Linked DNA regions of Drosophila melanogaster. The protein of the gene in region 1 interacts with the protein of each later gene in a biochemical or structural test. Each region holds a gene or a part of one and is shown on either strand. Other genes may lie near its edges.

Region 1 (8,485 bases):
GAGGCGACATGTACATTATGTTTTAATAATGATTGAATGAATGAATTAACGAAAGACTCCCGGAGCTCAATCTCTGTGCTGTCTTTGGCATGACTATTGTTCCTTTAAACGATATTTCTCAAAACGAATAACGAAAGCTGACGACGAGATAAAATACCTAAACAATTCCATAATGTAGCTATATAGGTGGATTATGTAACGAACTATGTCTATGTGCAGCATTTAAGTTTCTCTTCATCATCTGTTCGCCAGCGGGCGTCAAGTTGGAGTTTCAATAGATGGAAAGCATACGAATTTATAATGGGTATCCGTATCCGTATCTGCATCCGTATCCATATCCGTATCTGTATCCGTATCCCCAATTCGGTTGCGTTCTCCACCTGCCGCGTTGCCTGGCCAATTTAAAACAATTTCCGAGCCAATTATGAAAATGAATTATTGTTTGTTAAGTTTTATTTTATAAGACGGCGCTGCACTGACCGAAGGGATATTTTGAGAGTATAACCCAATTTAATCAAATTTCGCAGCAATTATTTTGTTTTTTATGTTTACAATTTGTGTTTTACGTTTTAGTGCAATTTTTTGGCATACATACATATTTATACAGATATTTTTGTATTCTTTTCGCAGCGTTCTAAATGAGTCATTCTAGTTTTTATTAGTTGAATTTATAAACACAAAATTACTTAACGGAAATTTCAAGCGTAACCCGTTGATTTCCTATCAACTCGATAATATGTATCTATAAAATATAATTTAGCTATTTCTACGTATGTCTGTGCATGTGTGTATAAATCAAGCGGGCGAAGTTGTGCAATTGTTAGAAAATTTTTAAAAGAAAGATATTTAGTAAAAATACGAAAATCAGAAATCGATGTTGAAAAACAAAACGCTCGTGCAATGACAAACAAAATTTTATTAATAAAGCGTTAAACAAACAAATTAAAGACAACATGAAATATACATTATGATATATTTATATATACAAGTATGAATAATGTACGACTATTTACTATTTTTTGGCTATAGCATTTTAAACGCATATATTGTATGTTTAACGTTGAAAATGGAAAAAACAAACAAAACAAGAAAATACATCAAAAAAAATTGTAAAACTTTTATGATTGGTTGCTGTAATTTGGCAAAAGTAAAAGTGCAATTCCAAATAAAATTCAAACAACCATACAAACAGCAGGAATCTGGGTCTTTTATTTATTTATTATCTATGGAAAAACAATACTTTTTCTGGAATGTAAAACTATTTTTCACTTAAAGGCGGAAAAATAAAAATAATGCTTTCTAGCAGTGGTGATTAAATTTATTGATTCTTACTGATGTCTTCTTCCAAAATAAAATTTAAAAAAAAAAACTAGTAAATTAAAATTTTTTTCCTATTTTAAACTTCCCCGATAATCAGATGCCAGTTACTCAACTATTGGAAATGCGAACGCAAATTAGATATTGGTGAATAAAATAAGAAAAAAAATTAAAATTGTTAAAAATTGTAAGCGTGGCTTTTCGGCGGTTTGTGGGAGTAATAGTAGTTTGGCAGATCAATAGAAATTTACAAGACTAATCAAAATATGAAAAATATCACATTTTGCATAACTGTGGGCGTGGCAATTTAAAGTTTTTTGGCAGATCGATGGAAATTTACAAGACTAATAAAAATATGAAAAATGTCAAAACATTTTGAAAATGTGCGTGGGAAGTTTTGGGGGCTTTCCGTAATCTCAATTTTCTAGCTTCTTATTCATCCTGAGATCTCGACGTTCGTACGGACTGACAGATGGACGGAAAGACGGACATGGCTAGATCGACTCGGCTATTGGTCCTTATATATATAATATATATAATATATTATAATATATATAATTTATTAGGTCGAAATCGGTTTCTTTTGCCGGATACATGCTTTTCAACGAATATAGCATACATTTGACTCAACAAGCAACATGTATACAAAACATGTATAAAAATATACAAATATAAATAGAGTCCCCACTTGAATGGCCCGCCTAGTCCGTATGTTCCTATCAATAATCGATAACAGAAAACACTTTAGCTGTGCCGCTCAATAACTTATCGCCCACCCCTAAGGCCTCCCATCACTAAAAAAGACTGTGACGCATTAAAAAATCGTCTATTAAAAGTCGTCAGTTAACTCGAAACCCTCAAAAGTAAATCATGGGAAAAAAAGATAGTGAGTTGTCCCACCTGCAGGACCATACAGCTATTCAAATATATGCACTTTCCAATTACCACCCCAGAGAACAAGAAAGGAGGACAGGATAGCGCTGCAGCACCACAGCCCCAGCAGCAGCAAAAGCAACAACAACAACGGCAGCAACAACCACAGCAGCTGCAACAACCACAGCAGCTGCAACAACCACAGCAGCTGCAACAACCACAGCAGCAGCAACAACAACAACCGCATCAGCAACAACAACAAAGTAAGTGCAAAGTGCGATATATCGGCGTAGGCAAAAAATAGATGTATGCATGCATGTACATACATATGTTTTGTACATATGGATTTACCATTTGCAATCAAATGCTCCATAAACTTTCGAAATGCCTGGGAATTCCCGAATTCGTGGCAGCCATGATGAAATTCAACTGCCATGGTTGTATAGAACCTATGTATGTGTGTATTATACTTAAAGGTGAATTCTACTGTATATAACAGTTATTGAATTTCCCCTTAACATAACTAAATTAAAATTCCTTTATATTTAAAAAAATGAATTTTGCTATGAAATGTAACAGTTGTGCTTTAGGCAGAAGCATCAAACAATTAAGAATTAAAATCTGCTCAAATCTGTAAATCTTAATCTTAATTTATACCAGATCCGACATTTTAACTCAATTATAAACTTATTAAAAATCTGAAAGATGAAGCGAAATTGAACATTTGACATCAATATATCTTTACATTTAAGGTTATGTACATACAGTTTGTCAAGAAACTGTTTACACACTGTGAAATAAGTTGAATTTTTGACTTTAAAGCTAAAAATAAAGGGTTTTTTGCTTAATTAAACGCAATTTTTTTATAAAATATAATTAAACAATATTTATTTTACTTATAAATAAAAAACAAATTAAAAATATTAAATATACAAGAAAATAAACAACAAATTCCAGGTTTACACACTTTTGAGACTGTCAAGAAACTCTTTACACATTTTGTTTTCCTACTTTGTTTTGTTCTTTTTCTTAGAACGAACTCGATTTTTCCGTTATTTTTGGCTTCGCATTGCTTTTTACAACGCTTCTATTGAAATTTGTTGACTTTGCTTGTGAAATTTTGCTGATCAAACGTGCTTAAAGCGAATTATTAAATTTAATAAAATGCCTGGAAAGAGATTAACTTTTGAAGTTACCCAATTAATAAACTATAACCACCAGTTGGGAAAATCTTTTCCAGAATTAGTATAAATGTTTCCTGTATCCCGTAAGACCGTCTACAATGTTTTAAAAGGCTCGGAAAAAGAGGGCAGGCTTGAACCTAAGAGTGGTGGTGGACGGAAAATTAAAATTAAAAAGCGTGTAGACCGCTTTATTATGCGAATAGTGATTGCGAACCCCCGAATCTCGGTCAGATCACTTGCTCTGGATATCAGGCAAGAATGCCACCTAACTGTGTCACACGAAACTGTGCGCCAAGTCATCCTACGCCATAGGTACTCTTCAAGATTTGCAAGGAAAAACCCTTTGCTATCAGATGCCAATATGGAAAAGCGTCATTAATTCGCTGTGAGCATGATGGATCATGCGGAAGAGTACTGGGATGACGTCATATTTTGTGACGAAACAAAAATGATGCTCTTTTATAACGACGGGCCAAGCAGAGTATGGCGCAAACCGTTGAGTGCGCTAGAAAAACAAAATATCATTCCAACGATAAAATTTGGAAAAATGTCACTGATGATGTGGGGCTGTATCACCAGCCGTGGAGTGGGAAAACTAGCCTTAATTGAGAGCACAATAAATGCCGTGCAATATCTAGAAATGTTAAAAAACAAATTTGAAGGCCAGTGTAGAAAAAATTAGTCTGGTTAGCAACAACAAGCCAAATTTTAAGTTTTACCAGGACATGATCAGAAACATAAAGAGTGCAATGTACGCACCTGGCGCCTTAATAACTGTGGTAAAGTGATCGATACGCCCCCTCAGAGTCCTGATCTGAACCCCATTGAAAATTTGTGGACCTACTTAAAGAAGAAGGTGGCAAAAAGGGACCTAAAACACAACAACAGCTTATGACTGTAATAGTCGAAGAGTGTGAAAAGATCCCGTTTGAATATGACCTGCAAAAACTTGTCCAATCCATGAAAAAAAGGCTTCAACTTGTAGCTAAAGCCAATGGGGAACATACTACATACCAAAACTTTTAAAATTTTAATAAAATAATTAAAAAATTTAGGATTAAACTTCGATTTAGTGTTTTGTGTAAAGAGTTTCTTGACAGTCTCAAAAGTGTGTAAACTTGGAATTTGTTGTTTATTTTCTTGTATATTTAATATTTTTAATTTGTTTTTTGATTTATAAGTAAAATTAATATTGTTTAATTATATTTTATAAAAAAATTGCGTTTAATTAAGCAAAAAACCCTTTATTTTTAGCTTTAAAATCAAAAATTCAACTTATTTCACAGTGTGTAAACAGTTTCTTGACAAACTGTATGTATTTTAAAGTGATACAAATTATTTTCGCGTTAGCAAATTCAAATCAGCCAAGTGAATACTTTTCGAAGAGTTTGCTTGCAGTTTTTTCGAAACCTAACACCTATTGTAATAAACATTCTTTGTCGATTTCTAAATCTAGGTTCGAGACAACAGCCATCCACAAGCTCAGGCGGATCCCGTGCATCTGGGTTCCAGCAAGGAGGCCAACAGCAAAAATCCCAAGACGCAGAAGGATGGACTGCACAGAAAAAACAAGGCAAACAGCAGGTACAAGGGTGGACTAAACAAGGTCAACAAGGTGGCCATCAGCAAGGACGACAAGGGCAAGACGGTGGCTACCAACAGCGTCCGCCTGGACAACAACAAGGTGGCCATCAGCAAGGACGACAAGGGCAAGAAGGTGGCTACCAACAGCGTCCGCCTGGACAACAACAAGGTGGCCATCAGCAAGGACGACAAGGGCAAGAAGGTGGCTACCAACAGCGTCCGTCTGGACAACAACAAGGTGGCCATCAGCAAGGACGACAAGGGCAAGAAGGTGGCTACCAACAGCGTCCGCCTGGACAACAACAAGGTGGCCATCAGCAAGGACGACAAGGGCAAGAAGGTGGCTACCAACAGCGTCCGTCTGGACAACAACAAGGTGGCCATCAGCAAGGACGACAAGGGCAAGAAGGTGGCTACCAACAGCGTCCGCCTGGACAACAACAAGGTGGCCATCAGCAAGGACGACAAGGGCAAGAAGGTGGCTACCAACAGCGTCCGCCTGGACAACAACAAGGTGGCCATGAGCAAGGACGACAAGGGCAAGAAGGTGGCTACCAACAGCGTCCGTCTGGACAACAACAAGGTGGCCATCAGCAAGGACGACAAGGGCAAGAAGGTGGCTACCAACAGCGTCCGTCTGGACAACAACAAGGTGGCCATCAGCAAGGACGACAAGGGCAAGAAGGTGGCTACCAACAGCGTCCGTCTGGACAACAACAAGGTGGCCATCAGCAAGGACGACAAGGGCAAGAAGGTGGCTACCAACAGCGTCCGCCTGGACAACAACCAAACCAAACCCAGAGCCAAGGCCAATACCAATCTCGTGGACCACCTCAGCAACAGCAGGCTGCCCCATTACCATTACCGCCTCAGCCAGCCGGGAGCATTAAGCGCGGAACAATCGGCAAACCCGGGCAAGTAGGCATCAACTATCTGGACCTTGACCTGTCCAAAATGCCTTCTGTGGCATACCACTATGACGTGAAGATCATGCCAGAGCGTCCCAAAAAGTTTTACAGACAGGCATTTGAACAATTTCGGGTGGACCAATTGGGCGGAGCAGTTCTTGCCTATGATGGCAAAGCCTCTTGCTACTCGGTGGATAAGCTGCCGTTAAATAGCCAAAATCCGGAAGTGACTGTAAGTTGCAAGAAATTGTCTACTAAGTTATGAACAACTGGGAGTAATAACATTTTTAAATGTATACAGTGGCAGTTAAATTTAATTTAATCTATACGATATTTTAGTTGTTTTTATTTCTTATTATTTTAGGTGACAGATCGTAATGGTCGTACTTTGCGCTACACGATCGAAATCAAGGAGACTGGTGACTCGACCATTGACCTTAAATCGTTAACTACGTAAATATAAATTATGTTTTTTATGGATACTCCTATTGAACGCGCTCCTCTGCAGTTATATGAATGACCGAATTTTCGACAAGCCCATGCGAGCAATGCAGTGCGTGGAGGTTGTTTTGGCTTCACCCTGCCACAACAAAGCCATCCGTGTCGGTCGTTCCTTCTTTAAGATGTCCGATCCTAATAATCGTCACGAACTGGATGATGGATACGAGGCCCTGGTCGGTCTGTATCAGGCATTTATGCTGGGCGATAGGCCATTTTTAAATGTAGATATATCGCACAAATCCTTTCCGATTTCAATGCCGATGATCGAATATTTGGAGCGATTTAGCTTAAAGGCTAAAATCAACAATACAACGAATTTAGATTATTCGCGACGCTTCCTTGAGCCATTCCTCAGAGGCATTAATGTGGTTTACACGCCTCCTCAGTCGTTTCAAAGCGCTCCAAGGGTATACCGTGTAAATGGTCTTTCTCGTGCCCCGGCCAGCAGTGAGACCTTCGAACACGATGGGAAGAAGGTCACCATTGCGTCCTACTTCCACAGTCGCAACTACCCATTGAAGTTTCCCCAACTCCATTGTCTGAACGTTGGATCTTCAATCAAGAGTATTCTGCTGCCCATCGAGCTATGCAGCATCGAGGAAGGTCAGGCCCTAAACGTGAGTTCACTAAATTCCTTTATATCTATATCTTGGTGTTCAATACCGTAAGCTATATTGTCATTACATATACCTATAAACATATGTATTTCACAGCGCAAGGATGGAGCAACTCAGGTGGCCAATATGATAAAGTACGCAGCCACATCGACGAACGTGCGAAAGCGCAAGATTATGAACTTGCTGCAATACTTCCAGCACAACCTGGATCCGACCATCAGTCGCTTTGGCATCCGCATTGCCAACGATTTTATTGTGGTAAGCACCCGCGTCCTAAGCCCACCTCAGGTTGAATATCATAGTAAGAGGTTTACTATGGTGAAGAACGGGTCGTGGCGCATGGATGGCATGAAGTTTCTGGAGCCCAAGCCCAAGGCGCACAAGTGTGCGGTCTTGTATTGCGATCCGAGGAGTGGTCGCAAAATGAACTATACCCAGCTGAATGACTTCGGGAACCTAATAATATCCCAAGGCAAGGCAGTCAACATAAGCTTGGATTCTGATGTGACATACAGACCGTTCACGGATGACGAACGCAGCCTAGACACTATTTTCGCGGATCTGAAGCGCAGCCAGCACGATCTGGCAATTGTGATTATTCCTCAGTTTAGAATTTCTTACGATACAATTAAGCAGAAGGCCGAGCTGCAGCATGGAATTTTGACGCAATGCATTAAGCAGTTCACCGTGGAACGAAAGTGTAATAATCAGACGATTGGAAATATTCTACTTAAGATCAACTCCAAGCTGAACGGCATCAACCACAAGATCAAGGATGATCCTCGTCTGCCGATGATGAAGAACACCATGTACATTGGAGCCGATGTGACCCATCCCTCTCCCGATCAGCGCGAGATTCCCAGTGTGGTCGGAGTAGCAGCCTCACACGATCCCTACGGAGCCAGTTATAACATGCAATATCGTTTGCAGCGAGGGGCTCTGGAGGAGATTGAGGACATGTTCTCGATTACTTTGGAGCACTTGCGCGTGTATAAAGAGTACCGTAACGCCTATCCTGATCATATCATCTACTACCGAGATGGCGTGAGCGACGGCCAGTTTCCGAAAATCAAAAACGAGGAACTGAGGTGTATTAAACAAGCCTGTGACAAGGTAAGTTTTTGAATTTCCTCACTATTTATTTAACATGAAATGAAATTACCAGTTACTAGCTATGAGTTAATTATTATATTATTATATACAGGTGGGCTGTAAACCCAAGATTTGCTGCGTGATTGTGGTGAAGCGTCATCACACTCGCTTCTTTCCCAGCGGCGACGTAACGACATCGAACAAGTTCAACAACGTGGACCCCGGAACCGTGGTCGATCGCACCATTGTGCATCCTAACGAGATGCAGTTCTTCATGGTCAGCCACCAGGCCATCCAGGGCACGGCCAAGCCAACACGATACAATGTGATTGAGAACACAGGCAATCTTGACATCGACTTGTTGCAGCAGTTGACCTACAACCTGTGCCACATGTTCCCTCGTTGCAAT
Region 2 (5,253 bases), on another chromosome or scaffold:
TCTGTTCTGCGGCGCTCCATTAATCTGAGGATCAGCAGGTACCTGTGCCGCTGGGGCAGCAGCTGCTCCTGCCACTTGTTGTACCTCCCCGAAGTTTCGCCCAGCAATCAGTGGGACTGAGGGCAACAGGGGTTGAGTCGGTGGCGGCAAGCCAGATTGGTTCGAACCGGGCAACGTAGAACTGTGGGTATAATATAAGATTGTTGTGTAAGAATCATAGCATTCAATATTATAGAAAATAATTGTTCGTTTACATGCAAAACTTAATTGCGCACAATAAATTCTTCGGGAGCGACCCCAAAATTATATTATTTAACTGTAATCGTGGCCATACAAGTATACTACAATTTTAGCACGCCTGATAACCAAAATAATAAAAAGATTATAAATAATCAAGAAACAACTTTAAAAATGCTAAAACAGCATTTTGATCTCACTTGAATAATAAAGTACCTCTTAAGAGTGACTAAATACAAGTGTTTCTCCTTCTGAGAAAAATAAAATGTATTCGCTATCGAGCTCTGTGTAATTTGATTCGCTCGCTTCTGATATCAGTGAATTAATTGTTGGATCAAGTGTGTTCCTTTAGCCTTCTGGTTCTGTTCACTTACCGTAGAGTCAACTGCTGCATGTACTGCGCGTAAGCCTGCTGCATCCAGGCGTTGTAGATGAGCGCCTGCTGCTGGAACAAAGCATGGGGACTGGCACTGGCATTGGCAGCAGGTGCTGCTCCCTGGCTCTGCTGCCAGAAGTGTGTCCAGGGATTGGCCAAACCGATGTCACCCGTCACGTGTGGTCCAGCGTTGCCCTGCTGTGCCTGCTGCTGATGTGGAGCATGACGTTGTCGCAGCTCATTTGCATTCCCAGTGACCTCGGGCCCAGCTGGAACCGCATCCTTCTGCGGAACAGTGGGGGCTTTGGCAGCCGGCCTTATCACTTGCTTGCTGGCACACACCAAGTGAAATATGTGGTGCTGTTGGTAGACATCCTTGTAGCTGCGTATCACCTCAGATATCTTTTGGGAGTCATCTAATAGCTTGCCCGAGTAAATAAGTTTCTGGTCCTGGATTAACTACAGAAAAAATGGAAAGAAATAGTTATAGTGGTCAAAACATAAAACATAAAATTTCACATTATAGGTATTCAGAGGGAACCTAGAGATAACTCATTGTTGCTTTTACCTCCGCGCGAAATTTATACTATCAAACAGTGCCTAAATCTATTTATTTGCACACTCCAAGAGATAACAACTTGTACTTGTCAGTTGACTTTATGGAAATGATACTTGAAACTAAATAAATTTTTATAAATTCTACTTGATTTGCTCTGGAAATAAAGAGTGCTAATGTATTTTTTCTGCCTGCAATGATCTGAATCTTTAGTATATATCAGTGATATTGATATGTGGGATGTACATATGTACATAAAAAACTTGGCACATGAGTGGAGCGTGAATATGTCCAAAAATCTTATCACTTTCTAACCGTAACCAAATTAATCCCAGTTCCCAGTTCCGACCCATCGATTTGGCATAGACCAAGTGCATGACGCAAGTGCATGACGGCGACTATAATTTAGAGGAGCAATCCACTGACGTGTACTTGCGACTAAGACGCAAATAGCTTTGGGAACCGACACACCTATGAATCCTAAACGAAGATGATAAACAATAACAAACTTCTCGATAAGATAATGGGGCTCCTGGCCAGTTTTCTACCTATACGATAACAAGGGGGGGAACCAACTCGATAACCCACCGGTTTGCCAGGATAGATAAGAGATAGGTGCTTCTTCAGCCTCTGGACCGTCCAGCAGAGATCGGAGTCCACATTGAGATCCTCATACTGCTGGTTGGACGACTTGATGAGCAGCCGGACACTGGTTTCCGGATTCTTTTGACGGGTGGCGGCATCGCAGCCCGCGGCTGTTGCGGCTGCGGGTGGGGCGGCGTTCTCCTCCATCTGGCTGACCCCGCGAATCGGAGAACTTTCTATTGCTAATTAATGACCGCGATACGAAGATCGGTGATGGGTTTTTGCTGCGCTAGCGGGGACACTTTTTACGCAGCCACTGTTTCTCACTTCCTACTCCGCTCTGCTCTCTGCGTATTTTCGAGAAATAGTTTATTCTGAATTTGACATTTAATTTGGTATTATGCTATTGTTTGGTTTTCAACAGCTGTTCGTTCTGTGGTGTTTTGCTCGCAGCACAGAGTTATTGATTATGAAACGCAGTAAACGTTCCGCAGTTGATCAAAAACTACTCTTCATTTGGTTCTGACCTGTGGCAAGTGATGAGCGTCGGTCACAGGGCTGCCGCGAGTAGCAGGTATTTTTAAGTCGCAGGTTGCACAAACAGCTGAGAATTGATTTTCCAAAGTGTGTGGGATGTGGCAATTTAAGTACACAGTTGGAAAATATTAAAGTCGTTGCTCAAACACTTGGTTTTAGTGTTTTTAGAATTTATTCCTTTGAAAAATATACGGTATCTAGTTATTTGCAGTTGTGGATTTTGCTCATCACTGACAGCAACACTTGTTAATGCCATATACTACGCAACAGGGTTGCCTTGACTTACGGGGATGCCAACTCGCGTCATCGTGACGTGTCGATTATGTATAACACTTCAGACGTTGAACTTTGAATGAAAACACCGAATAGCATATAAAATGCATTTGCTCCTTAGTAAAAAAGTTAAGAAGGTTTGCCGCTGTTTTCGTATTCGAATTACGAATTCAATACTATTTCGTGAAAATATTTTTTTGACAAAGCGGCATAAAATAATTCATTTACAGATGTCTTCGTCAAGATTTCCTATTCTATCGTTGCCGCTTCGTGATTCGCGTGCCATCTCTAATAACATTGCAGTGCTTTAGATATTTTATAAATTATATATATGGTTATATTCTGTTGAATGTTAGCACGTCCGACGTGCCTTTTCCCCTTGAACTCATGGATAACAAGTCAGCCGTATCTGCTCTACAGGAGTTTTGTGCCCGGACACAGATTAATCTACCAACATACAGTTTTATTCCCGGCGAAGACGGAGGGTACGTCTGTAAAGTTGAACTATTGGAGATAGAGGCCCTTGGAAATGGTAAATTTAAATTACAAATCTCAACCACTATTTATATTCGTATCTAAACCGCCACATATTTATCCAATTCTAGGGCGTTCGAAGCGTGATGCCAAACACCTGGCTGCCAGCAATATCTTGCGTAAAATCCAACTGCTGCCCGGCATACACGGCTTGATGAAGGATTCGACTGTGGGTGATCTGGATGAGGAACTGACTAACCTCAACCGGGACATGGTGAAGGAGCTGCGTGACTACTGCGTCCGCCGCGAGATGCCACTGCCCTGCATTGAGGTAGTGCAGCAAAGCGGCACCCCGAGCGCCCCGGAATTCGTGGCCTGTTGCTCCGTGGCCTCCATAGTACGCTACGGAAAGTCGGACAAAAAGAAGGATGCCCGTCAGCGAGCGGCCATTGAAATGCTGGCCTTAATCTCCAGCAATTCGGACAATTTGCGTCCGGATCAAATGCAAGTAGCGAGCACAAGCAAATTGAAAGTTGTTGATATGGAAGAATCTATGGAGGAATTGGAGGCATTGCGCAGAAAGAAATTTACCACCTACTGGGAGTTGAAGGAAGCCGGGAGCGTAGACCATACAGGCATGCGGCTCTGCGACCGACACAACTACTTCAAGAACTTCTATCCTACCCTGAAAAAGGAGGCCATTGAGGCCATCAATTCAGATGAATACGAGAGCTCCAAGGATAAGGCTATGGACGTAATGAGCTCTTTAAAGATAACACCCAAAATCAGTGAAGTGGAATCTTCATCGTTGGTTCCCTTGCTTAGCGTCGAGCTTAATTGTGCATTCGACGTGGTCCTTATGGCAAAGGAGACCGATATCTACGACCATATAATAGACTATTTTCGCACCATGTTGATTTAATGCGTATAACATTTATTCAACTATTCTAGCTTAAAACTAAGTAAACTCGTTTTATTTACACTCTAGAATGCACATATTTCATTTAATCTTACGATTAATACAATCTCCACCAATTTGTAGGTGGGAAACATAAAAAAATTATTTTCAAGGTCTTTTAGTAAACATCTATGTTAACTTTGTACACGATTGAGATAGGTGTAAAAAATCCAAGGAAATAAGTAAGGGGAGTGGGTACAACAACTTTTACTTTCGAGAAGGTATAACATAATGATATTATTAATTACTTTTCGATGCCAATACCAATGTTAATTCTATTAAAATGTAAAGTATTTATACGGTCCGAACTTATTGTTTGCAACAACTGATTATAAAATATTTGAAGCAATTTACATAAATATGTATTGCACAGTGAAATTAAAAATCTGAACATTTGCCTTTAAAAGGAATGCTAGTAATCAAAGACTTACTTGAAACAAATATTTTAAATAATTTGACGGAAAAAAATGGTAAAAATGCTGCATTTCTTTTTTTTTTTACAAGTACAACTTTTATACGAATAAAAGGGGTTTCAGTCTAAAATAAATAAAGTGCTTCGTAGTCTTCAGCATTTTTGATTTTATTTTTACAACACAATGCTAAAATGAAAACTAAGCGTTCCTCTTAAAAACTTTCAACAATGTATTAACAATTTCAATGTCAATTGCTTGCCTTTTAATGGGTTATCTTATATTAGTACAATATGTTAAATAACAAATCCATAACAATTTGAAATGTTTTCCTAAAAAAAAATGTAAGTGTATAAATGAGATTGTTATTGCAAATAATTTCCTAATCAATCACCAAATTTGATTGCATTGGAATATCTAAAAAATCATTGCATTCGCCACATCAATCTCATCATCTCATCGGGAAACGTTCAATTTACTAGTCAAAATAATATTTACACAACTAAAGGAAACAATATATGATTAGTGTTCAATAGCTAATCTTCTTGCGCAGCTTGAGATTGGATTGTTGATGGTCCAGAGACTGTTGTTGTTGTTGTTGCTGTCGCTCCCGATCCCGATCCTTTTCGCTGGACGCACGACTCACACCGCGTACCAGGTGCTGTTGCCACTGGCTGGAGGAGGGCGGCGCCGTGGGTGTGGGAATACCCGAATTTGAGGCGGACGTCGATGCTGAGGAGCCGGACTCACCGAAAAGGCGCCGGGAAAGCTTGAAGCTGCCGCTGTTGCTGCTGCTGCAGCTGTTGTACTTGCAATTGTTGTTCATGCTGCTGGTGGTGGAGGCGTT

The links.
Region 2: of the proteins of AGO2 (region 1) and r2d2, one has a biochemical effect on the other in vitro, tested with the Drosophila melanogaster proteins (one study listed by BioGRID).

The regions. Positions count from the first base shown.
Region 1 is NT_037436.4:15,552,020-15,560,504, forward strand, and holds the start of AGO2 (argonaute 2), read left to right. Parts: upstream 1-2,093; 5' UTR 2,094-2,187; coding exon of another isoform or gene 2,188-2,203; 5' UTR 2,204-2,245; coding exon 2,246-2,453; intron 2,454-4,803; exon of another isoform or gene 4,804-4,830; coding exon 4,831-6,098; intron 6,099-6,230; coding exon 6,231-6,319; intron 6,320-6,374; coding exon 6,375-6,984; intron 6,985-7,080; coding exon 7,081-8,097; intron 8,098-8,188; coding exon 8,189-8,485. UniProt on the Drosophila melanogaster protein: Essential for RNA interference (RNAi); double-stranded RNA induces potent and specific gene silencing.
Region 2 is NT_033779.5:7,797,552-7,802,804, forward strand, and holds r2d2 (r2d2), read left to right. Parts: upstream 1-2,595; 5' UTR 2,596-2,701; exon of another isoform or gene 2,702-2,794; 5' UTR 2,795-2,951; coding exon 2,952-3,096; intron 3,097-3,169; coding exon 3,170-3,960; 3' UTR 3,961-4,547; downstream 4,548-5,253. Other genes in the region: Herp (Homocysteine-induced endoplasmic reticulum protein), read right to left, coding at 1-181, 612-1,072, 1,758-1,961; Cdc14 (cell division cycle 14), read right to left, coding at 4,936-5,253.